Macaca mulatta: one gene and its partners. The protein of the gene in region 1 binds, or shares a complex with, the protein of each later gene. Links are inferred from orthologs where the notes say so. Each region holds a gene or a part of one and is shown on either strand. Other genes may lie near its edges. The genes, in order: PPIL2, RNF113A, CRIPT, SNRNP200, RBM48, PLRG1 and EFTUD2.

Region 1 (4,229 bases):
AAAATACAAAAAAAAAAAAAATTAGCCGAGCGTGGTGGCTAATTTTTAATAAAAATAAAGAAATAGAAATAAGATTGATGAAACAGACTCTTTGTGGCAATAAGATACCAAATTATAAATAGAACCTATAGTCATGCCAGACAACTTCCCTGGTTAAGTTACCCACCCCTACGCCTAAAGAATAAACTATATCCTTTTTTTTTTTTTTTTTTTTTTTTTTTTTTTTTTTTTTTTGAGACAAGTCTTACTCTGTCGCCCAGGCTGGAGTATAGTGGTGCGATCTCGGTTCACTGCAACGTCTGCCTCCCAGGTTCAAGCAATTCTCTGCCTCAGCCTCCTGAGTAGCTGGGATTACAAGCACCCACCATCACGCCCAGCGAATTTTTTTTTTTTTTTTTTTTTTTTTTTTTTTGAGACGGAGTCTCACTCTGCTGCCCAGGCTAGAGTGCAGTGCAGTGGCCGGATCTCAGCTCACTGCAAGCTCCGCCTCCCGGGTTTACGCCATTCTCCTGCCTCAGCCTCCCGAGTAGCTGGGACTACAGGCGCCCGCCATGTCGCCCGGCTAGTTTTTCGTATTTTTTTAGTAGAAACGGGGTTTCACCGTGTTAGCCAGGATGGTCTCGATCTCCCGACCTCGTGATCTGCCCGTCTTGGCCTCCCAAAGTGCTAGGATTACAGGCTTGAGCCACCGCGCCCGGCCGCCCAGCGAATTTTTGTAATTTTAGTAGAGACGCGGTTTCACCTTGTTGGCCAGGCTTGTCCCAAACTCCTGACCTCTAGTGATTCACCCACCTCGGGCTCCCAAAGTGTTGGGATTACAGGCATTAACCACCATGCCCGTCCCATGCTTATAGGTGTTTAATAAGCATATGCGGAATAAGCAAAGATTACTCACTTCCAAAGACTTTGTTCTCTGTATAAAGGTGGTGGTCATAGCATTATCTTCCTCTCTTCTTCAGGTACATTACTTGTGCTGAATATACTCACTTTTATGGTGGCAAGAAGCCAGGTAAGGCTTGCGGTCTTTCTGTTCCCCGTTGGGGGAGTGGTATTAAGGAACAGTGTCTTCAGGATACAGTGAGCTGTAAAAATAGACAACAAGAACACGGAAACTGTGGTAGACAAATGGGCCGAGGACAGTTCACGAAAGAGAAATATATTCAAGAAAGAAGAACATGCTTCTTCTTAGTGGTGGTTTTTGTAAAATGTAGATTAAAATATTCCCCAATGCTGGGAGCTAAGTAAAAAATAAGTAAATAAAATACAAAATTACATCTACATTTAAATGTTTTTTCTCTATTAAGTTTATAAGGAGTCCGGGCGCGGTGGCTTAAGCCTGTAATCCCAGCACTTTGGGAGGCCGAGATGGGCGGATCACAAGGTCACGAGATCGAGACCATCCTGGCTAACACGGTGAAACCCCGTCTCTACTAAAAAATACAAAAAAACTAGCCGGGCGAGGTGGCGGACACCTGTAGTCCCAGCTACTCGGGAGGCTGAGGCAGGAGAATGGCGTAAACCCGGGAGGCGGAGCTTGCAGTGAGCGGAGGAGACCCGGCCACTGCACTCCAGCCTGGGCGACAGAGCGAGACTCCGTCTCAAAAAAAAAAAAAAAAAAAAAAAGTTTATAAGGAATAAAAAGAATGATAATATTTTCAGCTGTCAAAACTATCAAGACTACAATAACAAGAGCACTGTCATAATTTTAATGGGACTAAAAAAGTACGCACTTTTCCCTGTAAGTTCTTTTTCGATGTACCCCGAGTGTTTTGGTTTATATCTATTAAAAGGTTTTTAAGGCCGGGCGCGGTGGCTCACGCCTGTAATCCCAGCACTTTGGGAGGCCGAGGCGGGCGGATCACAAGGTCAGGAGATCGAGACCATGGTGAAACCCTGTCTCTACTAAAAATACAAAAAATTAGCCGGGCGCGGTGGCGGGCGCCTGTAGTCCCAGCTACTCAGGAGGCTGAGGCAGGAGAATGGCGTAAACCCAGGAGGCGGAGCTTGCAGTGAGCCGAGATCGCGCCACTGCACTCCAGCCTGGGCGACAGAGCGAGACTCCGTCTCAAAAAAAAAAAAAAAAGGTTTTTAATCCACAGCAATTGCTGTACTTAAAAATTTGCACAAACTTTTTCTTTTTTTTTCTTTTCTTTTTTTTTTTTTTTGAGACAAAGTATCGCTGTGTCACCCAGGCTGGAGTACAGTGGCGCAATCTCGGCTCACTGCAAGCTCTGCCTCCCTGGTTCATGCCATTCTCCTGCCTCAGCCTCCCGAGTAGCTGGGACTACAGATGCCTGCCACCATGCCCGGCTATTTTTTTGTATTTTTAGTAGAGACGGGGTTTCACCGTGTTAGCCAGGATGGTCTCGATCTCCTGACCTCGTGATCCGCCCATCTTGGCCTCCCAAAGTGCTGGGATTACAGGCATGAGTCACCGCGCCCAGCCATGAACTTTTTCATATGCTGTAACTGAAACACATAGATGAAATACTGCAGAGTAAGATTTCTGTTTTTTGTTTCATTTTAAACAGATCTCCCACAAACAAATTTTCGTCGTTTACCTTTTGACCACTGCAGGTAAGAGTTTTGTGAGTTTACCTTTCCCTTGGAATTGTTCTCTGATGCTCTGATAGTGAATCTGCCCCTTGTGGATGTGGGGTTATGCGTAAAAGTGTGCTTTGAAGATGTGGCTCCTCAGTTCACGTTGGGAGAAGATGCGAAGTCCTCGCCATGATGGTAGGAGCTTACCTTGGTGTTGGATCCTGCTCTGGTCCTTCACCAGGGGTGGCACAACCACTACTGTAGTTGGAGGAGAAGGTTGGTGAGAGAGGGAAGTGGCCAGGCTGCCCGGAGAGGGCTCCCTGGGACAGCATCTCAGGAGGTCACCATGCCAGGCTCAGCCAGCCCACATCCTGACCAGGGTACCTGGCAACTCACCAGTAATGACTCCGTCCTTTTTCAGTCTCTCTCTGCAGCCCTTCGTCTACCCAGTCTGTACTCCAGATGGCGTCGTCTTTGATTTGCTGTGAGTTTTTCCTTGAATTTCGATCTAACAAATGTGAGATTCTCAACACCCATTAAGGAAGGGGACCCTTGGGTAGGGCTCTTGGGGACACAGAAGTAACAGCTAGGGCCTTGGGAACATGGCAGCAGTGCTGCTGTGACCCCTAGGCAGGCAGCTCTAGTTGTCAGGTGCTGCTGTCACTGCCTGGAATGGGGTAGACCACCCCACACCCCTCCATGTGGGGGTCCTAGTGTTCTAATTGGACACAGTGATCTGTTTTAGAATGGTAATGAACTGCATATTTTTTACTTTATGAAAGCAGAGCCATAATTATGGCATGTACCTTTTGTGTGCAGTATTTGGAAGCATTATGCCCAGTTTTGCGTTCCAGCATATGCTTCTGTAATTTTTTTCATGTTTCAGTCCCTTTTTTTTTTTTTTTTTTTTTTTTTGAGACGGAGTCTCGCTCTGTCACCCAGGCTGGAGTGCAGTGGCCGGACCTCAGCTCACTGCAAGCTCCGCCTCCCGGGTTTACGCCATTCTCCTGCCTCAGCCTCCCGAGTAGCTGGGACTACAAGCGCCCGCCACCTCGCCCGGCTAGTTTTTTGTATTTTTTAGTAGAGACGGGGTTTCACCGTGTTAGCCAGGATGGTCTCGATCTCCTGACCTCGTGATCCGCCCGTCTCGGCCTCCCAAAGTGCTGGGATTACAGGCTTGAGCCACCGCGCCCGGCTTTTTTTTTTTTTTTTTTAAGACGGAGTCTCACTGTGTCACCCAGGCCAGGCTGGAGTGCGATGGCACGGTCTTGGCTCATTGCAACCTCTGCCTCCCGGGTTCAAGCGATTCTCCTGCCTCAGCCTCCTGAGTAGCTGAGACTACAGGTGTGTGCCACCACGCCTGGATAATTTTTGTATTTTTAGTAGAGACAGGATTTCACCATGTTGGCCAGGATGGTCTCGATTTCTTGACCTTGTTATCCGCCCACGTTGGCCTCCCAGAGTGCTGGGATTACAGGTGTGAGCCACCACTCCTGGCCTAATTTTTAAAATTTTTAGTAGAGGCGGTGGCTGATGCCTGTAATCCCAACACTCTTGAATTCCTGTGCTGAAGCAACCCTTCCACCTCAGCCTCCTGAGTAGCTGAGATTTCAGGCACACGCCACTGTGCCTGGCTTGAAAGTATAGTTTTTGATGCTAGCTTAGTATTTAATTGTACAGATGTATCA
Region 2 (3,918 bases), on another chromosome or scaffold:
GACAAAAAATTAAAAGTCTAGAATATATAAAGAACTATAGATTGAAAAGAAAAAAGACAAAACAATAGAACAGGCAAAGGATATAGGCAACAATCCACAGAATAAGAAATATATGACAGTAAGAAAAACTAAAAAAAATAAGAAACATAAAAGATTAAATATGTAAAAAGATGCCAACCTCACTAGTAGACAAGAAAATGCTAGTTATATATTAGCATTGTATGACCCTTGGCAAGGCATTACCAGAACCCACCTCAACCCTGGCAGAAGGCTGGCATCAGAGTGGCTTCTTACCTTTGACACATAGTGACGATTAACTCCAGAGATGCGCCTATCTCTTTCCATCAGATTCCAGTGATACCCAAAATGAGCAATCCTTTTTTCCTTCAAATAAGAGACAATTATTGTTGCAGTTTATAAAAGTGAGTGACCCAGTTGATGGATATTACAATTTTTAGAAGGGACATTCTAGAGAAATGGAATCATCATTCAAATAAAAATGCAAATTAGTAGTACAAGAACAGAATCTCCTAAATAAAATCAGACCACTACACTTTAGGATTAAGTTGGTGACCGTGACTTCTTACACTATTTTAACCAACATGAATTTCTTTTCCTTTTTAAAAAAAAGAAAAAAAAAAGAAATATCTAGTTGTTGCCTTTTGGGACACTAAGAAACAACAGCTGTAGATCACACGTGGACAATCACAAATTCAAAAAGTAAATAAATTTATACTCTGTACTCTAGAGATGATGTGAAGGGCTAAGAGGGGAAAATGAATCCTGATGTAAAACACAAGACCTTGCAGTAAATTCCTAAACGCTTGCAAGAGAAAGTGGGGAATAAAAAAGTCAAGGGTGGCCGGGAGCGGCGGCTCACGCCTGTAATCCCAGCACTTTGGGAGGTCAAGGCGGGTGGATCACCTGAGGTCAGAAGTTCGGGACCAGCCTCGCCAACATGATGAAACCCCGTCTCTACCAAAATAAATAAATAAATAGCCGGGCGTGGTCCCGGCTACTCAGGAGGGTGAGGCAGGAAAATCTTTTTTTTTTTTTTTTTTTTTTTTTGAGACGGAGTTTCGCCCTTGTTGCCCAGGCTGGAGTGCAGTGTCGCGATCTCGGCTCACTGCAACCTCCGCCTCCTGGGTTCAAGCGATTCTCCTGCCTCAGCCTCCCGAGTAGCTGGGATCACAGGCATGCGCCACCACGCTCCACTAATTTTGTATTTTTAGTAGAGATGGGGTTTCCCCATGTTGGTCAGGCTGGTATCGAACTCCCGACCTCAGGTGATCCGCCCGCCTCGGTCTCCCAAAGTGCTGGGATTACAGGCGTGAGCCACCGCGCCCAGCCAGGAGAATCTCTTGAACCCGGAAGGCGGAGGTTGCAGTGAGGGATTCTCAGGCTTGAGCCACCTCTTCTAATCTACCTTTCCGGCCCCCGCGTCGCTACTCTGCCCTAAGGCCCACTTTGATACACCCAGAAACGCTGTTTTTCACCAGAGCAGGATGTGGTTTCTACCGCGCTTCGTTTCGCAAGCCTCGGCTTCTAGGCAACCGGAAGAAAATAGAGGGCCGGCCTCGGAGAGAGGGTCCGCAGGCTGACGGACTCTCTGCCCACCATCCTTTTCAGAAATCAGCCAGTGGAGTCAGCCCCCGGGCCCAGGAAGCCGCCTTACCTTGCCCCCGTTAGTGAACCTCTGGATGTACGCAGTAGCCAGTCCTGGAATAAACAAGCACACGCCCATGGCGGCGAGTCCGGGGAGAATCTCGAACCACATCTCTGCCCCGTTATCTAGGCCAAAACCCTACTTCTGGGTCCTTGAAAGGTGACCGGGCTTCGGCTCCCTTCCCAGTAAGCCCCGCGGCCGCCCGCGAGCGGGGCGGTGCCACGTACGGCTCCGGAGGAAGCGACGGGATCTGCCAGGGCTCAAGAGAGGCTGGCGCTCGCGCTCTCGCAGTTCTCTTCCGTCAGTGTCTTTTGCTTCGACTCCCGGCGGAGCGCGCGACGTGGAGTAACGCGCAGAGGCCAAGTGCAACCCAGGCAGCGACGGCCGTTTCGGAGCTCGGGACTCTAAAATGGCAGAGCAGTTTTCTCCAGGGAAGACGGCGGATCAGGTGTGCACCTTCCTTTTCAAAAAGCCTGGGCGGAAAGGGGCTGCTGGACGCAGAAAGCGCCCGGCCTGCGACCCAGAGCCCGGAGACAGCGGCAGCAGTAGCGACGAAGGCTGCACTGTGGTTCGACCGGAAAAGAAGCGGGCGACTCACAATCCAATGATACAGAAGACTCGTGACAGTGGTAAACAGAAGGCAGCTTACGGCGACTTGAGCAGCGAGGAGGAGGAGGAAAATGAGCCCGAGAGTCTCGGCGTGGTTTATAAATCCACCCGCTCGGCGAAACCCGTGGGACCAGAGGATATGGGGGCGACAGCTGTCTATGAGCTGGACACAGAGAAAGAGCGCGATGCACAAGCCATCTTTGAGCGCAGCCAGAAGATCCAGGAGGAGCTGAGGGGCAAGGAGGATGACAAGATCTATCGGGGAATCAACAATTATCAGAAATACATGAAGCCCAAGGATACGTCTATGGGCAATGCCTCTTCCGGGATGGTGAGGAAGGGCCCCATCCGAGCGCCCGAGCATCTACGTGCCACGGTGCGCTGGGATTACCAGCCCGACATCTGTAAGGACTACAAAGAGACTGGCTTCTGCGGCTTCGGAGACAGCTGCAAATTCCTCCATGACCGTTCAGATTACAAGCATGGGTGGCAGATCGAACGTGAGCTTGATGAGGGTCGCTATGGTGTCTATGAGGATGAAAACTATGAAGTGGGAAGCGATGATGAGGAAATACCATTCAAGTGTTTCATCTGTCGCCAGAGCTTCCAAAACCCAGTTGTCACCAAGTGCAGGCATTATTTCTGCGAGAGCTGTGCACTGCAGCATTTCCGCACCACCCCGCGCTGCTATGTCTGTGACCAGCAGACCAATGGCGTCTTCAATCCAGCGAAAGAATTGATTGCTAAACTAGAGAAGCATCGAGCTACAGGAGAGGGTGGTGGTGCTTCCGACTTGCCAGAAGACCCCGATGAGGATCCAATTCCCGTTACTTAGCTGTCTGATAATTCTTAAATTTAAAAAATAAATATTTTGTTCTTTTGGAAGTCTTAATTCGTGTCCTTCCTTTGTAGAGACAGTGACAGAGAAGGCGGGTGGTGAAGTAGGGTCCTGGATTAAAAACCTCAAGGTAGGTATAATCAGGATTTTTAGCCCTAGGATAACCATTTTGCCTGTGTTTCTTTTCAGAACATTTTGGCATCAATTATAGGGGTGGGAGTAGTTTGAGAAAAGAGCTATAATTTGCTTGAAGTAGCCAAAGCTATGACGAAAGTAAGAACTCTGAGCCTGTTTATCATATCACATTTCTGTATCACTTAATGGTTTACAAAGTACTTTCATGCATTCTTTCTCTTGGGAGCCTGTACTACAAAATATACCGGAGCCAAGGTGTTGGGGAGAGGGGTTGCGTTTGGGGAATTGGTAGCTAGTACCACAGGCTTCACATATGGGAAATGTTCCTTGCTGTCTGGGTTATTTATTTATTTATTTATTTATTTATTTATTTTTGAGACGGAGTCTCGCTCTGTTGTCCAGGCTGGAGTGCAATGGCGCTATCTCAGCTCACTGCAACCTCCGCCTCCCGGGTTCAAGCGATTCCCCTGCCTCAGCCTCCCGCGTAGCTGAGACTACAGGCGCTTGCCACCACGCCCAGCTAATTTTTTGTATTTTTAGTAGAGACGGGGTTTCACCATATTAGCCAGGATGGTCTCCATCGCCTGAACTCGTGATCCGCCCACCTCGGCATCCGCCCACCTAGGCCTCCCAAAGTGCTGGGATCACAGGCGTGAGCCACCGTACCCGG
Region 3 (3,327 bases), on another chromosome or scaffold:
AGCCAAGATCACGCCATTGCCCTGTAGCCTGGGCGATAGAGTGAGATTCCATCTCCAAAAAAAAAAAAAAAAAAAAAAAAAGTGATATTCTCTATGGTTTGGAAAAATCTTTGTAAATGGGCTGTTATGCTATACCCAAGAGGAGACACTAGGTCTAGGACAGTGTTTCGTATCTGGTATATGAGGATCATTACAAAAACTCATTTTGTAGTTAGGGAAGCACAGTTAAAGCAGAGTATTATTGCCATTTTAGGGGGAAGTATTTCTTTTTTTCACTCCAGTTACTGTAAGATGGCATTTTTATATAGTAGAAGCCCTTTTATCTAAAAGGATTGAGTCAGTTAATTAAAAATGTCAGCTAATGTAAGCAGTCATTAAAAGATACACATACCTTATTTTAACTTAAAGCACATAACTGTAGATGTATTAATCATATGGTATTGAAACAAAGCCTTTTGAGCATAAATCAACTGATAAGTGCTCTACATGATTGTCGTCACAAAAATCACAATCAGAATATGTTCAGTATCTTTAAAGTGGAGCAAAAATTGATGCTTGAGGTATGGAGTCCTTTCCTAGTGATTTTCCCCCAGTTGTCAACAGTTGTCTTACCCATACCTAATTCAATAGCAATTCCGATTATTCCTGGTCGTCCTAAAGTAGTCACTTAGGTTTTATGGAATCAGTCACTCTTTTTGCACCGACATTTCATCAGTTTCCATAATATTTTTGTCACACAAATAGAATGACAGATACAATTGATACGAACACGTCAAGAATAAATTCTGTACAACTGACTATAAGTATATATCTCACATGGACGGAGCAGAGCAGAGATGTACAGGCATATCAGACAGTAGCCATCTGGAATAGGCTAAACCCATCAATTGTAGAGGTTGATGGAGGGATGAAGAGCATGGATTAATCCTGTGTGTTGCGTAAGTGGGGTTATTTAAGAGTGTGTTTCTAGTGTAATATACAATTTTCTCTCATTAAAAAAAATTTCTAGATTTGATCCATATGGAAAGAATAAGTTCTCCACTTGCAGAATTTGTAAAAGTTCTGTGCACCAACCAGGTTCTCATTACTGCCAGGGCTGTGCCTACAAAAAAGGTAAGTTTCTTTTAATACCTTTTTTCTATTCATAAAACCTACTTCATTTGCTGCTAATTTGGTTAACAGAAACGATGTAGCCTGTCATAAATTCTGTTAACCAAACACTCTTTATCCTAAGGCAAAATGGGACGTAAAACCTGTTTATAATTAAAAGTATATATATATATATATATTTTTTTTTTTCTCTTCTGATGCTGTTAAATTATATTTTAAGCTTCAGGATTGACTTAAACCAAACAGTTGGTATTATGATTTGATTGATCACGTATCTTCTTTTGTTTCAGGCATCTGTGCGATGTGTGGAAAAAAGGTTTTGGATACCAAAAACTACAAGCAAACATCTGTCTAGATGTATTGATGGAATTTCTGACTTTCTAAATGATTTTACTTTCTGCCTTGAATTTTCAAGGCATAGATGTCAACTTACAGAATAACGTGTTTTAAGACAATTACGTTTAAACCAGAGAATTTGATTGTTATTCATTTTGCTCTCATGCTCTAAACAGCAACAGTGTAACTAGTCTTTTGCCGTAAATGGTTTTTTCCTTATGAGCATTTTATTGAACTAAGTGGCAAATTCCATGAAAAATTTCTCAGTTCTGTATGCACTTTAAACATTATTCATGTAATTCTCCCCCACACACACTTTATTTATAGATACTGCAAAAGTGAGAAGGAGGTAATAGATATTTTGCTCTGAATTTGGCATCCAGAGTTAACAGTTCTCCCCTAACTCCCTTACTCGTGTCATAGTTATTAGGATCAGCAGCCTCTTAACTAATTGCAGTTTCATAGGATGTATAAATGTTTCAAGCCATTATTGCTGAATGGTTCTTTAGTTATTAACCTAGACCCAAATCAAAGACCAGTTTTTATTTGTTCTTGCCGCCAAAGTGCCAGTTCCTTTAATATGTGACCAGGAACACAAGGAATATCCATATATCCAAATAAACACACTGAATTTTAGAAAAACTTATTACTTTGAATTCAAATTGTCATGAAAACCAGAACAGTGTTTGTCCATGTTGCATGTAATGAACATAAATCCCTGCTCTTTGAGAAAAGCTCTTTGAAGCAAAAACCAAACTTTTTGTTTTTTTACCTCCTGTCTCCCTCCCTAAAAGAAATAAATAAAGCAAACATCTTGACTCTCCCTTTTTAAAATTTGTTTGTTTGTTTGTTTGTTTGATACAGGATCTCACTCTGTTGACCAGGCTGGAGTGCAGAGGTATCATCAAGCTCTCTGCAGCCTCCATCTGCTGGGCTCAAGCAATCCTTCCACCTTACCCTCCTAAGTAGCTGGGGGCTACAGGTGTGTGCCAGTGAGCTCAGCTAGTTTTTATTTTTAGTAGAGACGAGGACTCGCTATGTTGCCCAAGCTGTTCTCAAACTCCTGATCTCAAGCAATCCTCTGGCCTCAGCCTTCCAAAGTGCTGGGTTACAGGTGTGAGTCACAGCACTTGGCCTCTCTCTCTCTCTCTTTTTTTTTTTTTTATACTACAGGTTTCAAATGAGTACTTTTCTTATGTTGCCTTCAGAGGTTCAGGACTTCTGCTTTTAAAATCTGCAGGCTACCATGGGAGACCAAAAAAGCATTCCCCATTTCCAACTGCAGTATGTATAAATACGTATCACTATAAAATGTGTAGAATAGATAGTGTGATAAGATTTATGAATGGCATTTTTATTGGTCATAAAATTTTGATGAAAAGCATTTAAAGTTTTAACTTTATAAGGCTTTTCAAAATGTGTTTTTTTGAGATACCTTGTTATTCATATCCACAAAGATTATAAGGATAATGCAAAATATAATAATTCATCTGAGAGCAGGAAGTATCCTCTCATGCTTAATCAGTTTGATTAATTGATTATAATTTTAATTTTAATTAAAATTATAACACAGGGAACTCATAACAGGACCTGGTCAGAGAGTGTCCCAGAGCCATTAAAGATTGGATTTGTTGACTTGGAGAAAAGTACGTTTCTCAGGGATCGACTGGAATCTGGACTTGCCTAACTCACATTTCATTTATTTTTTAAATAATTTCCGTTTTTATTTTAGATGTAGGGAGTACATGTGCAGGTTAGTTATATGGGTATATTTTGTGATGCTGAGGTTTGGCGTACCAATGATCCCGTCACCCAGGTAGTGAGCATAGTGTCCAACAGTTGGTTTTTCACCCCTTCCCTCCCCTCTTCCCTCCGGTAGTC
Region 4 (4,229 bases), on another chromosome or scaffold:
GTTCGATGAGATTTGGTGGAGACACAGATCCAAACCATCTCACCAAGATCGTTAGACTTTAGAGATTAGCACACAGGAGAGCTCTGATTCTCCCTTGGGCACACTCTTGCTGGCCACTGTCCCTTGTTGACCTGTGGCATTTTGTGCAAAGATTTACCTTTTAACACTGCTTAATGGAGCCTCATTGGAGATCCTCCTGCCAGAATCACTTCCTGTTACTCTTTGGCCCTTGAATCTGCCTGTTTGGGGCATGCTTAGAGTGACCTCCGGTTTGCTGGCGTGGCTGAGCCAGCCCATGGCTGCGTGAGTGTTAGCACTTTCCGGTCAGAGGAGCAGTCCATCAGCAGTAGTTATGCCTTGGTGTTCCTGGGCTTTGGGTTCTGTTCTATGATGACTTGTTTTCTCCTGGATAGTCCCAGAGCAAGGCATCAGCAGCGTGGAGCTATCTCATAGCAATGTGTTACCTCTCATTCATGTTAGACCTTGTTCCTAGCCCGCCTTGCTGTGAGTTCTGAAACGTAACACAGGGTAAGCCACGGCCTGCCCATGAGGTAGTGAACCTGCTTCACCCAGAGACCCCTGTCCTCAGCCTTCTCTCCCCTTTTCTGCTCAGGGGCTATCCAGGTGGTGGTGGCTTCTCGGAGTCTCTGCTGGGGCATGAACGTGGCTGCCCACCTGGTAATCATCATGGACACCCAGTACTACAATGGCAAGATCCACGCGTGAGTACAGCTGGTGGTCTGTGTTAGCCCAGACCTTCCTAAAATGAGTGTGAATCTGCAGACACACAGAAAGCAAGCTAGGATGAAGGAAAGGTGTTAGGGAAGTTAACAGCTGAGATGCCACCAGAGCCAAGTATTTAGGAGTTTTGTGTCTCAATACCTAGGCTCACATTTGTTTTTTAGTCATTGTGCTTCCACATTCCGCAGTTGGGAGAGGTAGGCAGTTAGCGCCAGGAGGAATGTTTGACATTATGTCATTAACCTCAAACATCTTGTAGATTAGGAAAAGCGACTTGGTCAAGGTCATACACCTATATAGTGACAAGAAGCTAGAAGAGTGCTGAGCGCGGTGGCTCATGCCTGTAATCCCAGCACTTTGGGAGGCTGAGGCAGGCGGATTGACAAGAAGCTAGAAGAGTGCTGAGCGCGGTGGCTCATGCCTGTAATCCCAGCACTTTGGGAGGCTGAGGCAGGCGGATCACTTGAGGTCAGGAGTTCCAGACCAGCCTGGCCAACACGGTGAAACCCCGTCTCTACTAAAAGTATAAAAATTAGCTGAGCGTGGTGGCACGTGCTTGTGCTTCCAGCTACTCAGGAGGCTGAGGCAGGAGAATCAGTTGAACCTGGGAGGCAGAGGTTGCAGTGAGCCAAGATTGTGCCATTGCATTCTAGCCTGGGCAACAGAGTGAGATTCCATCTCAAAAAAAAAAAAAGGCCAGGTGTGGTGACACGCACCTGTAATCCCAGCTACTTGGGAGGCTGAGCAGGAGAATCGCTTGAACCCGGGAGGGGGAGGTTGCAGTGAGCCGAGCTCGCGCCAGTGCACTCCAGTCTGAGCAACAGAGCGAGACTCCATCTCAAAAAAAAAAAAAAAAAAGTTAGAAGAGTCAATCATTCTCAGAAAAACATCTGCTTTTTTTTTTTTTTTTTTTTTTTTTGAGACAATCTTGTTCTGTCATTTAGGCTGGAATGCAGTGGTATGATCTCGGCCCACTACAGCCTCTGCCTCCCAGGCTCAAGCAATCATCCTGCCTCAGTCTCCCAAGTAGCTGGGACTACCAGCATGTGCTGCCACTCTCAGCTAACTTTTGCTTTTTTTTTTTTTTTTTTTTTTTTTTGTATAGATGGGTTTTCACCGTGTTGCCCAGGCTGGTCTTGAACTCCTGAGCTCAAATGATTCACCCACCCAAAGTGCCGGGATTACAGGCGTGAGTTATGGTGCCTGGCCCAATGCTTAATAACTTTTTCCCGAAATGCGGATTAGTTTGAAGTGAATTTTATTTACGGGTTCATTTTTAATGTTTGAGGCTGCTTCTAGGTTGGGTTAAAGTCAGGTGACTTGATGACTCATGAAATGCACAGCTGTGAAGTTTGGAAAGTGCGGCGGTGCGCACCTGTGGTGGCTGAAGTGCGAGGATCCCTTGAGCCTAGGAGGTCAAGGCTGCAGTGAGCCGTGGCTGTGCCACTGCACTCCAGCATGGACAGTAGAGCAAGATGCTCTATCAAAAAACAAACAAACAAATAAATAAATAATTTTTTTAATTAAAGGAGAAAAGTTTGGGAAGTTTGACTTACATATTTGATCCTCGAATAGGGAGTTATTTTGGTTTTGGCATTAGATAGTTTTGTAGCTTGGTTCATGGCACTTGAGCAGCAAATTCATGGCCCTTACACTGAATGCTAAAATGATGTAGAGGCCAGCCAGTGAAGCCAGTTCTAAGTGCAGAGATTCATAAACAGAGTCGTGCTGTGATTTGACCACGCCTCCCCGTATTTACATTTTACTGTTAATTGGCGAAGGGAGTCGGGCCTCCTGAGCGTGGTCTCCGTGTTGAGGCGGCTTTTCCTTCTTTCCCCGCATCTGTCACCAGCTATGTGGATTACCCCATCTATGACGTGCTTCAGATGGTGGGTCACGCCAACCGCCCTTTGCAGGATGATGAGGGACGCTGCGTCATCATGTGTCAGGGCTCCAAGAAGGTCAGTCCTGGATTCATGCAGCCTCTTGGATCCGGAGCCTCAGAATGGATTCTTTAATCCTTTTGATAGACGTCTTCAGTAATTTTAGTCTCTTAACTTCTGCCTCTCTTATTTACACAATTCTTTTGTAACGAGCCTGCCACCCGTTTGGAATTTTGCTGCCTTTTGCCTTTGCTGCTGCCGTTGGCTCCATGTGTTGAGGGCTTTGCCCGCTAGTTGGTTCCCTCCTTCCTCACTGGGCTGCCCACTGCTCTGCCCTTGTGACTTGCTGTGCCTCTGTTCCCACTGCGTATTGTCGCCAGTGACGCACTTTCTAAACCTGTGGCTTCTTCCATTTTGGTATTAGTTAGGTCTCGCACGGGGACCATGCCCTGTTGATTTGCCCTTGGCCCTTTGTGACCATGTTGTCACTAATTCTTGATTAATGCTGCTGCTTCTCCAACCCACAGGATTTCTTCAAGAAGTTCTTATATGAGCCATTGCCAGTGGAGTCTCATCTGGACCACTGTATGCATGACCACTTCAATGCTGAGATCGTCACCAAGACCATTGAGAACAAGCAGGATGCTGTGGACTACCTCACCTGGACCTTTCTGTACCGCCGCATGACACAGAACCCCAATTACTACAACCTGCAGGGTCAGTGCGCTTGGGAGCACACGTGATTCTTTGGTGGTTCCCACAGCCTTTGCTGGGCATTTTCTCAAGGCTCCCCACTCACCTCTCACCTCCATAGGCATCTCCCATCGTCACTTGTCCGACCACTTGTCAGAGCTGGTGGAGCAGACCCTGAGTGACCTGGAGCAGTCCAAGTGCATCAGCATCGAGGACGAGATGGATGTGGCACCTCTGAACCTGGGCATGATCGCTGCCTACTATTACATCAACTACACCACCATTGGTGAGGCCCAGCACGGCCCGTGTCCTGTCTGTAGGAGCCTTCTCACACAGGAGTCAGGAGCCCACTGGGATGAGAGGTCTGCCCGTGTCTGTCAGCGGGATGACACTGCAGGGGAGAGCAGGGCAGCCCAGGCAGTTCTGCTCCTTCTCCGCTTGCTTTCGGCTTCTCTCAAATGTCCTTTTTCTGTCAGAGCTCTTCAGCATGTCCCTCAATGCCAAGACCAAGGTGCGAGGGCTCATCGAGATCATCTCCAATGCGGCAGAGTACGAGAACATTCCCATCCGGCACCATGAAGACAACCTGCTGAGGCAGGTGAGGACGGCAGCTTCAGGAGAACGTCCTGGGAACAACGAACTCTGCCTGTGTGCCCAGAGCACATGGCGTCCCTGCCACCAACACCCCCTTATGCATCCCCCGACCCCCACCATATGTCCTCCCCTCCATACCTCCCTCACACTCATCTCCATCCCACTGCCACCCACGTGCCTCGGGGTGTTGAAGGGCTGTGAGCCTGGGCCATGTGGTGCTTTGGCCTGAGCCAGTCTCAGGCAGGGTCACCTGTTCATCACCAACTATTTTTCTTCCACTTTGTAGTTGGCTCAGAAGGTCCCCCACAAGCTGAATAA
Region 5 (4,229 bases), on another chromosome or scaffold:
AAAGGGACCTATCTACTTCTTGAGGTTGTATGAGGATGAAATGAGATAATCCATATAAAGGGTTTAGCAGAGTGCCTCCTGGTCAGAATACAGTAAGCATTAGCTATTGTGGTTTCTACTGTTACTCCTTTCTGCAAATTGACTCAGTGTTTTCCGGCCTTCTATGTGACATAAACCCTCTGCTCCAAAAAGGCTGAAGTATGCAATGCCTTATCTATTTTTATGTTGATCTCTGTTCTCCTCACTAATCTGCTCTGAGACCCATCCTTCTCTGGCTGTTACAATTCATATTTTCTTTCATGTGCTATCAGTAGAAATCATAATCTACCACAAAAGCACTTGATTTTACTGGGTCATGTGTGGTTTTCTCAGGCTGCTGTTATATGTAATCTCACTTTCTTAACCAATCTGCCAGCTGTCATGGTTAGAGAAATATTTTCTCGAGCTTTTCTGTTTTCCAAAGTACCTAGTCTAGTAGGCTCTGAAGTAAGACATCTGGATTTGAATCCTTGCTCCTCAAACCAGAGTATGAGCATGGCTAAGTTATGTAATGTCCCAGTGCTTCTGTTTCATTACAGGGTTGTTGTTAGGTGTTAATTCAAGTGAAGCACTTACAACATTGCCTGGCATATGGTAAAATCTGAGCAAGTATTTGTCATTATCCCTGGATACAGAAGTAGTTAAATTTATTGTAGTACCTGGCCAATCATAGATGTTTAGTAAGTATTTATTGACTGAATAACATTCTTCTCATTTTCTCATTGTTATATGTTTAATAGTTCCTCAGTTATTGAACGTTTTATGATTATAGTATTTTTCATCTGATTTTTAAGGCAAGAATCCCATTACAGAAATACATTGTGCTGAAAAAGCTTAATTGGGTATGAAGTAACTCTTCAGGGCCACAGAGAAAAGCTCTATTTTATGACCACAGTTTATATACTTCAGGCCAACCAGCTGGGTCTTTAGTTGTTTAAAGACTAGGGAACAAAGAGGCTCGAAGGGAAGAAAAGGGGAGGCTCTAAGTACATACTCGAACAATGGGATGAATACTGTCCACAAGCAGAGCATCTTAATTGCCAATCCACAGGATATATATACACATAGCAAAAGTTGGACTTTGCTCTTTAGATCCAGATATTGTATACTAGTTAAGCTTTCATCCCAAGTAAATCTAGATTAAAAAACCATGCTATCTTATATTTCCATTCAGGACAGCCAAGAGAAAAATGGATGAACAGAGTTTCTTCGGTGGATTGCTTCATGTGTGCTATGCGCCAGAATTTGAAACAGTTGAAGAAACTAGAAAAAAACTACAAGTGCGGAAGGCATATGTAGTAAAAACTACTGAAAATAAAGGTATGGAAAGCATATTGCTAAATGCCTCCTGTATGTCAGGTACTCTGCCAGGTGTATCATCATGCAATTCCTAGTCTAGTGGGAGGAGAGGCAAGTAAAGCATCACAGTATTCAGTAACTGTAAGGGTTCTCTTCAGCACACTACATAATCTGGGTTGAGAAGGGAGAAATGTTGGTTCATAGAAGACTTCCTACAGTATGTGAGAAGTGGCTGAAATTTGAAGGATAAGTAGACATTAACTAAAAGGGAGAGGAAAAGATGGAAAGGCAAGCCAGGCAGGATGTTTAAGTGTTTAGAGGAATAAATGAGCATCATGCATTTAAGGAAATTTAGTTAATACAGTATAACCAAAGCTCAAAGGTTTCAGTGAGAGATAAGTTTAGAAAAGTGGATAAGAAGTGAATCATGAAGGGCCTTGTGTCCCATGCTAAGGAATTAAGGCTTTGACCAGAATGCAGTGAGAAGCAGTTATGATTTGCAGACTAGTTGTCACTGCTAATCATGGAGAAGTTCTACTTTTGACCAGCAATTGACTAAATGCCCCCATATGCCCCTTCTACCAGATAGTGGTAGAGAGAAATAAAGTGGGAAAACTCTTGGAAAACTTACTCAGAAATCTGGCAAGAGAGCTGTTGAGAATCCCCAGTCATCTGTATCCATTGAAGTCTAACTTGTAAGATAAGTAAATAAATAGCACCAGGAAAACTTAATGTGTTTGTATGACAAAGGACATTATAAAACATTAATGTGGAGAAAGACCTTTGACATTATCTGACCTGTGTCCTAATTTTTCTTGGTGAGGAAACTAAGTCTCAGAAAGTTTGTGACCGGCCTATATTATTACAGATGAATTAAGGACAAAAATAAGGATTAAAACCCAAGCTTTGGACTCTTTCTCCAGAGCTTACTTTTTAACTGCTTTAATTATCTCAGTGTTGGTGTGACAGCCTAGGGTTATCTTCATTATTTGCTCCCCTTCCTCTTAAGATCTTTTTGCCGTGCTGCTGATCTCAGAATTAAACCTGACTTGCTTGGCCTTGGACACTTCAGTTAAGCTGTCTTTCATCAGCATTTTAGCATCTGTGCGATGCATTTGTATACTTGGTCTTACTTTTCAAAAACTCTTATTATGAAAGTTATTGTTATTATTATTATTATTTTGAAACGGAGTCTAGCTCTGTCCCCCAGGCTGGAGGGCAGTGGCGTGATCTCTGCTCACTGCAAGCTCCGCCTCCTAGGTTCACGCCATTCTCCTACCTCAGCCTCCCGAGTAGCTGGGACTACAGGCGCCTGCCACCACGCCCGGCTAATTTCTTGTATATTTAGTAAAGACGGGGTTTTGCCGTGTTAGCCAGGATGGTCTTGATCTTCTGACCTCGTGATCCACCTGCCTCAGCCTCCCAAAGTGCTGGGATTACAGGCGTGAGGCACTGTGCCCGGCCTGGAAATTTCAAAACACAAAGGCAGAAAGACTAAGTTAATACATCTCCCATGTATTAATATTAACATCAACAATCATCAACACATAGCCAATTTCATCTTTACCACATCTTCCACACTCCATGTTGTAGACTGCTTTTGGGAGAGTAAACCAGGGAAGAGGCCCTTGCCAGCCCTAGAAGTGGGACAAGCATAGTGCTTTCTTTAGTAACTGACAAACACAAGCTAAGGAGCATGATACATCCAGATAGTGGAATACTCTGAAATTGTTAAAAAAAAAAAAAAACAAAAAAAACAACTTTCTGTATAATGATGGAAAACCTATATAAGATCTACAGTGAAATGGAAAATGCAGAGGTGCAGAGAAATGGATATTACATTTACCTTTTTTAGTGGGGAGAAAAAGAATGGGAGAAAGGTGGCAAAGTAAAACTTACTGAACAGATAAATAAAAAACAATAGTGATTACTTATGGGGATGAAACCAGACCCATGGAGTGCAAGGAAAGGGTGACACTTGATGCTGTATATCTTTTTATCCGTTTTAGGTTTTAAACCATGTGAATATATTCCCTTCTCAAGAAACAGTTTTTTTGGAGTATAATTTGTTAACGTTTTTAAGTGATTTTTAAAAATTATATGATTCTCAATGATGAAAACAATAAATTAACCACTTATGTTTCTCTTTCCCTCAACTTTTAAATTGTAATATAAAGACCATAACGTGACAAAGAAGAAATTGGTTACAGAGCATAAAGACAGAGAGGATTTTAGACAAGACTTCCACTCAGAGATGTCTGGCTTTTGTAAAGCTGCTTTGAACACTTCTGCAGGGAACTCAAATCCTTATCTTCCGTATTCCTGTGAATTGCCTTTATGTTATTTCTCCTCAAAATGTATGTGTTCATCCGGGGGACATGTGGACAGAGCATCAAACTCCTCTAAGGATGGTAGAAATCATCATAAAACAATGGGGCATTATAACCACAATGACTCTTTGCAGAAAACACAGATAAACACTTTTAAGAACTCAGTGGCCTACCCTGGTGCGCAAAAGGCTATTACGTCTTCAGAGGCAGTTGACAGATTTATGCCTAGGACAACACAACTGCAGGAGCGCAAAAGAAGAAGAGAAGATGATCGTAAACTTGGAACTTTTCTTGAAACAAACTCAGGTAGTAATGAGGTTATGATTGGACCTCTGTTACCAGACATGTCTAAAGTGGATATGCACGATGACTCATTGAATACAACTGCGAATTTAATTCGGAATAAACTTAAAGAGGTAAGGTTATTTTTAAAAACTGTTCTAAGAGACGATTTGGTTATAGGACTAAATGGGGAATTATTTGTGGGAACAATAGTATTGTAATTTTTTTCACTTTTTAGTTTTTTGATGTGTTTTTCTATAGTTCTCTGTTGAAATAACT
Region 6 (4,676 bases), on another chromosome or scaffold:
ATCACATTTTCTCAACTAAAGTTAAGCCTCAGAAATAAGGGAAATTGGTCACTTTTGATCTCTGTAAACCATGTCCTTGTCCATTTGCTATATAGCAATGGTATACAAAGAAGCCCTCCTATCAAGTGATAATCCACTCTGGTATTTCTTCCAAGCAAATTTCCTGTGGAAGCTTGAATTCTCTTCATTTATTAAGATTTCAGTATTTAATTTCATCTTTCTGAATTACAGACAGGATAGATGGTATCCCCACAGGTTAAGAATATTCTCCAATTTTTTCCTTTAATCTCTACTGTGACCTTCTCCACATTCTAAGAATCTCTGCCATCATTATACTACCATTTTTATTTCCTATAAGAAAAAAGTCATCAACCAATGTCTCAGTATTCCCACGAGGATAAAAACTTCCATTATAATACTGGTACAGCCATTAAATACTGTATGACCACACCTAAGTCCTGCCAGCAGGGGCAAAAATAACACATTTTATTTTTCTATTTTTAAAATTCACACATACGTCTGACATTTCTGATAATACCATACTCACCTTGATTGGCAGGGTACTGTTTATGAACATATGAATCCGTTGCATTCTGAGGACCCTTCTCTTTAAGATTTTCTTTCAAAGTAGGCATATGCAACACAGGACCATACTCATTACGAAGCTTGATTGCCATCTTCCGTTTGTGACTATTTAGAAATTATAAACATAAGAACGTATCCATAAATACTTTAAAACAAACACTTAGACAGCTTAAGTTTGCCCAATCATGTAGGAAAAGTTTCTAGTAAGATTTTAAGTAGTATTTAAAAGAATCAAAAATTTCCAAGTGCATTTCCCCACCATATCTGTTCTTTTGCTCACATTCCACCACACAGCATTCATTAAACCTAAGTAATATTTTAGTTTGTTACCTAATAGAAAATATTTTATGATAAATTATCAAGGGTCTGCTTGAAAGATATATAGAAACTAACATACCCTTTAAGAAACCTCAAAGTCAATACGCTTTCCTTCAAAATATAAATATAGTAAAAACTCTATAGCAACCTTTACTAGATGTATCCAAACAGGTTAGTTAGAACTAAGAAAAGTACTTAATTGGTTCAATATTTTAAAAAGAAATGCACTTATATTACTTTTAAAAATAGTCTACTTTACAAATTAAATATAAATGCTTGTTTGAGGAGTTAAGTCGATTTTAAAAGGGTAAAGGACAAAGAAGGAACACTGCACATAATGCAATCCCAGACTGGAGCTGGATATGTAGAACCAAAAATATGCCACCACTCAAAAATCTTCATCATACTAACGAGAAAAGATGGGAGTAGAGGTACCGGCCAGGTACAATTTCAGCTCAGCAAGGCTCTGAGAGCAGCGGGAAGCTGAAAGCACATACAAAGTGATTGATTATAAAATAAAATACCTAAAAGGGACTCTCTTATTTACTGGGTATTTGTAAAATGCAATTAATTAATGGAACTTTTACTGTAAAAGGCCAAAAAAAAAAAAGTTAAATCAGCTTAAATTATGCCAAAACACCACTCATTATTGAATTAGCCCATGAGTATTGCCAGTTTATCTTTAAAGGTCTCCCTCTTCCTGCTCTCTTCCCCCAGTATTAGAATGTTAAATATTTCAGCAATTGAAAAAAAAACTATACCAACCTCTCTTCATCTAAAGGCACAGGTTTTCCATTATCAGCTACAAACATGTCATGGGTCCTCTTCAATGACCTGAACACAAGTGTGTGTACAGAATGTTTCTGTACCTCCTAAAAAAAAAAAAAAAAAGTAATTACACACCTATCTACAAATTACACAAATCATAACCTAACGTCAGATTGATTATACACTTCACATGTTTAAATATGTAAAAAGCTTTATACCACTCACCATAGCTACTTGTTGCGAGCTACAGGAGTCAAGTTCAGAGAAGAGGAGGAAGCTCCTCTTTGGCTAGAACCTCAGGTATAGCAACTGAGTGATGCCATAGTTTAGTCATTTACTCAATAAATATTTACTGAGCTCCTACTGTGTGTCTGGCAGGTATCGTGCTAGACTCTCACAATAGAATGATAAAAGGTAGTCATGGTCCCTGTGCTCAAGAGGAAACAGACAAATAAAAAGTAAAATAATTCCACATTTTGATAAGTGCTATGAGGGCAACAAGCAAGGCACTGGGTCAGGAAACGAAGGACTAAGTATAATTGTGAAAGACTTCACTAAAGTGATATTTAAGCAGAAAGGGAGTTAGCCTTGCACAAAACAGAGATAAAAACGAACCAGGCTGATGGAAATGTCATGTAAAAAAATGTCATGTAAAAAAATTATTAACTGAAATAATACAAGAAGGGCGGCACAGCTGTATATGGTGGATGAGATGGTGCTTTGTGGTTGCAAGGGTAGACAAGGTCCAGATTAGGTAAGGTATTTTAGACTATTACAACAGCCTATGTTTTCTTCTAGCAACACAGTCAGTAAAGGGTTTTAAACAAGAAAGGTATGAACAACTTACATTTTAAACAGAACAACTTATGGAACAAAATGGAAGCAAGGAAATCAACGGGGAGCTAATGCACCAGGCCCGGTGAAAGATGATGTTGGTCTCAATTAAGGTGGACTGCAGTGGATACGGAGAAAAGTGAACGGAATCAATAAACATGGGGGGTAACATGGATAAGACCAGCTAACAGAATGGCTGGCTGTTCATGCCAGGGAAAGATGTAAAGAATGGCAAGTTTTTCTGGGAGTAGAGTTGAAATAAGAGACGACTTGAACGCAAGATAGAGAAGACCGCCAATCTTTTCGGGCACAGAATCACTGACACTGCCCCGAGGGCGGCGAGTACCAGTGGTCGAACACCAACAGAGGCCCCGCCTCCAAGGACAGTTTCCAGCTCCCAAGAGTCAAACGAGGACTGGACGAATTATCTCAGGCTTAGCGCCCGGACTGAACCTCCGACTCGGGTTCTCATCCGGCTTCTACCCCTTCCCCGAAAACCCGATGAAGAGACCACCCGGCCTTGGCCAAACAGCTTCCCTCGTAGCCTCTTTTCTCTCCGGACTCCAAGCACTCTCAATCCCCCACGCCCACTGCCAAAGAAAAACAGTCCAGAGACAAACGACTCTTGAGAGTCCCAGTGTCACTTTACCTCGACCATGATGCTACCGCGTATCCCACCTCCGGCAGGGAAGAAACCCTAATCACTAACGCAGTACCCGCCGCCACAACTGTGCTGCACCTTCCGGAATTGGGAGGCCAGGCGGCGGATGTGATGCAAGCTCTGCGCACGCGCGCTAGTCTCCCCCGGCCCTCTGGGATCAAGAGGCGGGTCTCCCTCCTCAGGACCGCCCCTAGGGCGGAGGCTCGAGGCTGTAGAGGGGAGACACCTGGAAGCGCCTGACTGGAGGATTTCACTCGCTCCTCTGAAGAAGTCTTCGAATTATGTTTTCTGCCTTACCTTCAGCCTTCAATGTCTTGGCTGGGGCCCTGGTTGTTCATGCTGTATTCCCCGGAGTTTAATGCTTTTTATTCAGAGAGCCTAAGCGTCTGGAGAGCAAACTCCCGTGGGCTCTATCTAAGGCGCTTCCGCTGCCTTGATCTCTTTGGAGGTCGCCTGCTTGCTTTCTGTCTCCTGGTTCCAATCCTGGCGAGAAGCACTTGGACACTTGTAGGCTTAACACCTGAAAACAATTTCTCTTAAACAGTTCAGTAAACACTTGCTGAGTGAATGTTGAGGAATGGCTGTTTTAATTTGGAAAATTTTGACATGTAGATATAAGAAAAACCCATATTCATTTTCTGCTAATAGATTTTTTTTTTTTTTTTAACTTCTCAACGCTACATAGCTCTTGGCCATTTCCTAGTTGTCTGCTGATTATTGTGGCTTCAACAATGCCAGGGTACAGCTTTTCAAAGCTGGTAGAAGAAAGACACAATTGGAGACTTTAGCCATTTTTATTTATACATATCCTTGTGCCAAGTATTGGTATTTTTGCTTCCTACCCTGGTAAAATCTCCGGTTTTGATCAACCCTACCTAATTATTTTTCTATGTAAAAAGAAAAATGGATGGACTTGGGCATTTGCAAACTTAAATAGACAAAACATTTTACTGGCCCTGTTTCAGTTTCACTGATCTGTCCTGACAGCGTACTGCATACACTTTGAGAGGGGGAAACAATCTAGCAAAAGAATAGCAGTGTAAATCAACGTCACTTGGAAATTCATTAAAAACATTAAGGTCATGGTTTTTTGTTTGTTTGAGAGGGAGTTTTGTTCTTGTCGCCCAGGCTGGAGGGCCATGGCGCAATCTTGGCTCACTGCAACCTCCTCCTCCCGGGTTCAAGCGAGTCTCCTGCCTCAGCCTCCGGAGTAGCTGGGATTACAGGCGCCCGCCACCACGCCCGGCTAATTTTTGTATTTTTAGTAGAGGCGGGGTTTCACCATGTTGGCCAGGCTGGTCTTAAACTCCTGACCTCAGGTGATCTGCCCCTCTCGGCCTCCCAAACTGCAGGAATTACAGGCATGGGACCCCGCGCCCGGCCTTAAGGTCATGTTTTTGCTTGAAGATAAAACATCCCTGAATTTGACTGTGAGTTTGTCCTAAGAACTGATTTTCTGTAAAAGTGGCCGGTGATGGTATTTCCTTGCAAGAAAATACTATAATTAAAA
Region 7 (3,732 bases), on another chromosome or scaffold:
TCCTCTTAGACTCCTCTACTGATGTATCTAGGAAGCACTGGTGTCGCAGAAAACACTAGGTTTCCTGGGCAGCAGACCATGTTGGGGCTTCAGGGCAGAGCTTCACTCAGACGCTGTGGGTTGAGAATGGCACGGGTGCACACCAGTGGGTCTCTAGCACCAGCTCTGTCAGACCCATGGGGGTTGTTCAGTGAATGGTGGTGGACAGCCAAACGGATGCTGAGAGCTATCTTGGAAGACTAGAATTAAGGCCCTAGTTTGATATCCCACTTATTCTTGGCTCAGGAATCTAATTTCTTTACTACAGTAAATTTTCTCGGGCTTTTTGGTGATGGTTTGGACAGCTCTTTTAACCTGCTGTTGTACTTGTCACTTGTGCTGATTAAGGCAGTTGGGATTTTCACAGAGGTAGTGTCAAGGGGAGCTTCTGAATTCCCTTAGGTAAATGGTTGCCCTTCCAACAAAATTAGACCTCGCTTCAGTAATTTATTTTCTATTTCCCAGGTGGCTGACCCAGTTGTCACGTTTTGTGAGACGGTGGTGGAAACATCCTCCCTCAAGTGCTTTGCTGAAACTCCTAATAAGAAGTAAGCTGGGAGCACAGTGTCCCCGGGACTGCAGCCTCCAGGACACTCTCTCTCCTTTATCTTCCACCTCCACCCCCACCATGAGCACTGTGCACAGAGACCCCTACATCTCAGAATGGGGGGTGCTTACAATACTTGAGTTTCACTCCAGCCCTCTCAGCCCTTCTGCCTTTGAACGCAATGCCATGGGATTATTCACCTTGGATATTCCCAAGAGGAGTTTCATAACTGCCACTTCACCTCTATAAAATAACTATCTTAAAAGTTTACTCCAGGCCGGGCGCGGTGGCTCAAGCCTGTAATCCCAGCACTTTGGGAGGCCGAGACGGGCGGATCACGAGGTCAGGAGATCGAGACCATCCTGGCTAACACAATGAAACCCCGTCTCTACTAAAAATACAAAAAAATTAGCCGGGCGAGGTGGCGGGCGCCTGTAGTCCCAGCTACTCGGGAGGCTGAGGCAGGAGAATGGCGTGAACCCGGGAGGCGGAGCTTGCAGTGAGCCGAGATAGCGCCACTGCACTCCAGCCTGGGCGACAGAGCGAGACTCCGTCTCAAAAAAAAAAAAAAGTTTACTCCAAACCTTACTCGCTTTTTGGTTTTTGGGTTTTTTTTTTTTTGACACAGGCTGGAGTGCAGCCTCGACTTGCTGGGCTGAAGCAGTCCAGCAGCTAGGACTGTGGGTATACACCATGCCATCTGTTAATTTTTTTATTTTTTGTTGTCCAGTCTGGTCTTGGACTCTTGGGCCCAAGTGTTCCCCCCACCTTGGCCTCCCAAAATGCCGGGATTACAGGCGTGAGCCACTACGCCCAGCTGTTTGTTTTTAAGAGGCAGTGTGTTGCTGTATCACCCAGATTGGAGTGCTGTGGTGTGAGCCATAGCTCACTGCAGCCTCAAATTCCTGGGTTTAAGTGATCCTCCTGCCTTGGCCTCCCAAAGTGCTGGGATTATAGGTCTGAGCCACCACACTTGGCCCCCGTGGCTTTCACCGATATTACTTCCTCAACTGTCCATCTTGTTACCCTTTTCTTAGGAATGCCTCTTCTGCTGTTCTGTTAGCCGTCCTTACCACCCATTTCCATTCTGACCAGGAACAAGATCACCATGATTGCTGAGCCTCTTGAGAAGGGCCTGGCAGAGGACATAGAGAATGAGGTGGTCCAGATTACATGGAACAGGTGAGAGGAGGGCTCTGACACCAGGATCGAAAGGAGGCAGGGATGCCGCAGCTTACCTGCCGGGTCTCTAAGAGCACACATCTTTCTGGGAAGCATTTATGTCTTTGCCGTTGCTCTTGTTCTGGGCACAGTGGGTAGGATGAGGTGACTGTCTTCCAGGAAGGGAGGGTCTATGGCTCCAGGACCAGCAATCACAGAGCTGGCCGACAGCTCCATTGTCCCCCTCCTTTCCCCAGGAAGAAGCTGGGAGAGTTCTTCCAGACCAAGTACGATTGGGATCTACTAGCTGCCCGTTCCATCTGGGCTTTTGGCCCTGATGCGACTGGCCCCAACATTCTGGTGGATGATACTCTGCCCTCTGAGGTACAGCAGAACTGATGGGAGCCGGGTGGCAGTCTCTTACCTCTGGAGTGGAAGAAACTACAAAGTGTTCTTTTCCCAAGAGTATCTTGTGTCCTCTGATGAAGGACAGTATCCCCTTACAGGCACATCTATCTTCTCCCTCTAAACGCTTCAGCTGTTGTCAGGGTGACTGCTAAGGAGGCCTCATGTTTCTCTGTAGGTGGACAAGGCTCTTCTTGGCTCAGTGAAGGATAGCATCGTTCAAGGTTTCCAGTGGGGAACAAGGGAGGGCCCCCTCTGTGATGAATGTAAGTCCACCAGCACTCCCCCACCCCAGTCCTCGAGGGTCCTTGCAGCCAGGCATATGAGTGGGATGGGCTCACCATCTTTAGGACCCGGCAGGAGAAGCAGCTTGGGGTACACAGGACCATCCCGTGTCCTGGGCCAGCTTCTTCCCTTCTTCCTTATCCTGGTGGTGTAGCCTGGAAATTTAAGTCATTTCTAAACTGTCATTTGCTCCTCATTTCTGAGAAGGGTTTGGCCTTGGACATATTTGAGAAGAGATACCAAGAGGATGATGAGATTGGAGTGGTTAATAGACCTTGATTGGGCTTCGTGCACCAAATGTACAATTCTGGAATTCTACATCCACAAAAATGTAAATATGTGCAGAAGAAAGAAATAAACTTCTAGGAAAGCTCTATGTCTGAGCATGGCCTGAAGCAAACACTAAGAACCTATGCTTAACTTCTGACCTCTGCCATGGGCCTTGCTTATTCAGTTAGAACGCCCACCTCCCATGTGATTTTTGTATCATGTCTTTCATGACTGCAAGACAGCTGCAGTGTTGCAGGAGACTGCTACTCCACCATGGCCCTGTGACAGGCCCAGAACCTCTCCCCAGTCACTGCCTCCACCTCCTTTACAGTGATTCGGAACGTCAAGTTTAAGATCCTGGATGCAGTGGTTGCCCAGGAGCCCCTACACCGGGGTGGGGGCCAGATCATCCCCACAGCCAGGCGAGTCGTCTACTCTGCCTTCCTCATGGTAAGAGAATGGGGCTGTAGGAGACCATCTGCTTCGCTGGACTGTGGACTAAGTGAAGGAACAAGTGGGACTATAGGCCCTCAGCCTTCCCTAAGCTGAGGGACCTTTCTTCTTGCTCTGCTGCAGGCTACTCCTCGTCTGATGGAGCCTTACTACTTTGTAGAGGTCCAGGCCCCTGCAGATTGCGTCTCTGCAGTTTATACTGTCCTGGCCAGGCGCAGGTGAGCAGCCCCAGCCCCAGGCATATTAGGAAGAGTGCTGAGAGCAAGAGCAGAACAAGAGTCACCTCGGCTCCTGCAGGGAGGAGAGATTGGCCTCCCCTACCCTCCTCACTCTGGAAACCCTGTGAGCTGATTTTCTAGAAAGAAGTAGGAACAGAGGGAGGCAAGCCCCAGCTTTTCTGCAGATTAAAATTTGACATTTCTCCATCCTGGCTAACAAGGTGAAACCCCGTCTCTACTAAAAATACAAAAAATTAGCCGGGTGTGGTAGCAGGCACCTGTAGTCCCAGCTACTCAGGAGGCTGAGGCAGGAGAATGGCGTGAACCCGGGAGGCGGAGCTTGCAGTGAGCCAA

Evidence for each region.
Region 2: PPIL2 (region 1) and RNF113A share a complex: the UniProt entries of both Homo sapiens proteins name them as parts of the minor spliceosome. The link is inferred for Macaca mulatta from reciprocal best matches to the Homo sapiens genes PPIL2 and RNF113A.
Region 3: PPIL2 (region 1) and CRIPT share a complex: the UniProt entries of both Homo sapiens proteins name them as parts of the minor spliceosome. The link is inferred for Macaca mulatta from reciprocal best matches to the Homo sapiens genes PPIL2 and CRIPT.
Region 4: PPIL2 (region 1) and SNRNP200 share a complex: the UniProt entries of both Homo sapiens proteins name them as parts of the minor spliceosome. The link is inferred for Macaca mulatta from reciprocal best matches to the Homo sapiens genes PPIL2 and SNRNP200.
Region 5: PPIL2 (region 1) and RBM48 share a complex: the UniProt entries of both Homo sapiens proteins name them as parts of the minor spliceosome. The link is inferred for Macaca mulatta from reciprocal best matches to the Homo sapiens genes PPIL2 and RBM48.
Region 6: PPIL2 (region 1) and PLRG1 share a complex: the UniProt entries of both Homo sapiens proteins name them as parts of the minor spliceosome. The link is inferred for Macaca mulatta from reciprocal best matches to the Homo sapiens genes PPIL2 and PLRG1.
Region 7: PPIL2 (region 1) and EFTUD2 share a complex: the UniProt entries of both Homo sapiens proteins name them as parts of the minor spliceosome. The link is inferred for Macaca mulatta from reciprocal best matches to the Homo sapiens genes PPIL2 and EFTUD2.

The regions. Positions count from the first base shown.
Region 1 is NC_133415.1:31,323,280-31,327,508, reverse strand, and holds part of PPIL2 (RING-type E3 ubiquitin-protein ligase PPIL2), read left to right. Parts: intron 1-959; coding exon 960-1,009; intron 1,010-2,152; exon of another isoform or gene 2,153-2,531; coding exon 2,532-2,577; exon of another isoform or gene 2,578-2,942; coding exon of another isoform or gene 2,943-2,962; coding exon 2,963-3,025; exon of another isoform or gene 3,026-3,430; intron 3,431-3,737; exon of another isoform or gene 3,738-3,865; intron 3,866-4,229. UniProt on the Homo sapiens protein: Has a ubiquitin-protein ligase activity acting as an E3 ubiquitin protein ligase or as an ubiquitin-ubiquitin ligase promoting elongation of ubiquitin chains on substrates.
Region 2 is NC_133426.1:126,364,598-126,368,515, reverse strand, and holds RNF113A (E3 ubiquitin-protein ligase RNF113A), read left to right. Parts: upstream 1-1,860; 5' UTR 1,861-2,075; coding exon 2,076-3,110; 3' UTR 3,111-3,217; downstream 3,218-3,918. UniProt on the Homo sapiens protein: Required for pre-mRNA splicing as component of the spliceosome. As a component of the minor spliceosome, involved in the splicing of U12-type introns in pre-mRNAs. E3 ubiquitin-protein ligase that catalyzes the transfer of ubiquitin onto target proteins.
Region 3 is NC_133418.1:78,210,582-78,213,908, reverse strand, and holds the end of CRIPT (cysteine-rich PDZ-binding protein), read left to right. Parts: intron 1-1,009; coding exon 1,010-1,113; intron 1,114-1,400; coding exon 1,401-1,465; 3' UTR 1,466-2,280; downstream 2,281-3,327. UniProt on the Homo sapiens protein: As a component of the minor spliceosome, involved in the splicing of U12-type introns in pre-mRNAs. Involved in the cytoskeletal anchoring of DLG4 in excitatory synapses.
Region 4 is NC_133418.1:5,013,909-5,018,137, reverse strand, and holds part of SNRNP200 (U5 small nuclear ribonucleoprotein 200 kDa helicase), read left to right. Parts: intron 1-613; coding exon 614-722; intron 723-2,593; coding exon 2,594-2,702; intron 2,703-3,151; coding exon 3,152-3,341; intron 3,342-3,438; coding exon 3,439-3,603; intron 3,604-3,793; coding exon 3,794-3,915; intron 3,916-4,197; coding exon 4,198-4,229. UniProt on the Homo sapiens protein: Catalyzes the ATP-dependent unwinding of U4/U6 RNA duplices, an essential step in the assembly of a catalytically active spliceosome. Plays a role in pre-mRNA splicing as a core component of precatalytic, catalytic and postcatalytic spliceosomal complexes.
Region 5 is NC_133408.1:126,858,988-126,863,216, reverse strand, and holds part of RBM48 (RNA-binding protein 48), read left to right. Parts: intron 1-1,213; coding exon 1,214-1,359; intron 1,360-3,515; coding exon 3,516-4,084; intron 4,085-4,229. UniProt on the Homo sapiens protein: As a component of the minor spliceosome, involved in the splicing of U12-type introns in pre-mRNAs.
Region 6 is NC_133410.1:163,143,143-163,147,818, forward strand, and holds the start of PLRG1 (pleiotropic regulator 1), read right to left. Parts: upstream 3,238-4,676; 5' UTR 3,164-3,237; coding exon 3,155-3,163; intron 1,776-3,154; coding exon 1,669-1,775; intron 691-1,668; coding exon 548-690; intron 1-547. UniProt on the Homo sapiens protein: Involved in pre-mRNA splicing as component of the spliceosome. Component of the PRP19-CDC5L complex that forms an integral part of the spliceosome and is required for activating pre-mRNA splicing.
Region 7 is NC_133421.1:69,231,745-69,235,476, reverse strand, and holds part of EFTUD2 (116 kDa U5 small nuclear ribonucleoprotein component), read left to right. Parts: intron 1-504; coding exon 505-587; intron 588-1,681; coding exon 1,682-1,768; intron 1,769-2,004; coding exon 2,005-2,131; intron 2,132-2,330; coding exon 2,331-2,418; intron 2,419-3,038; coding exon 3,039-3,157; intron 3,158-3,283; coding exon 3,284-3,378; intron 3,379-3,732. UniProt on the Homo sapiens protein: Required for pre-mRNA splicing as component of the spliceosome, including pre-catalytic, catalytic and post-catalytic spliceosomal complexes. Component of the U5 snRNP and the U4/U6-U5 tri-snRNP complex, a building block of the spliceosome.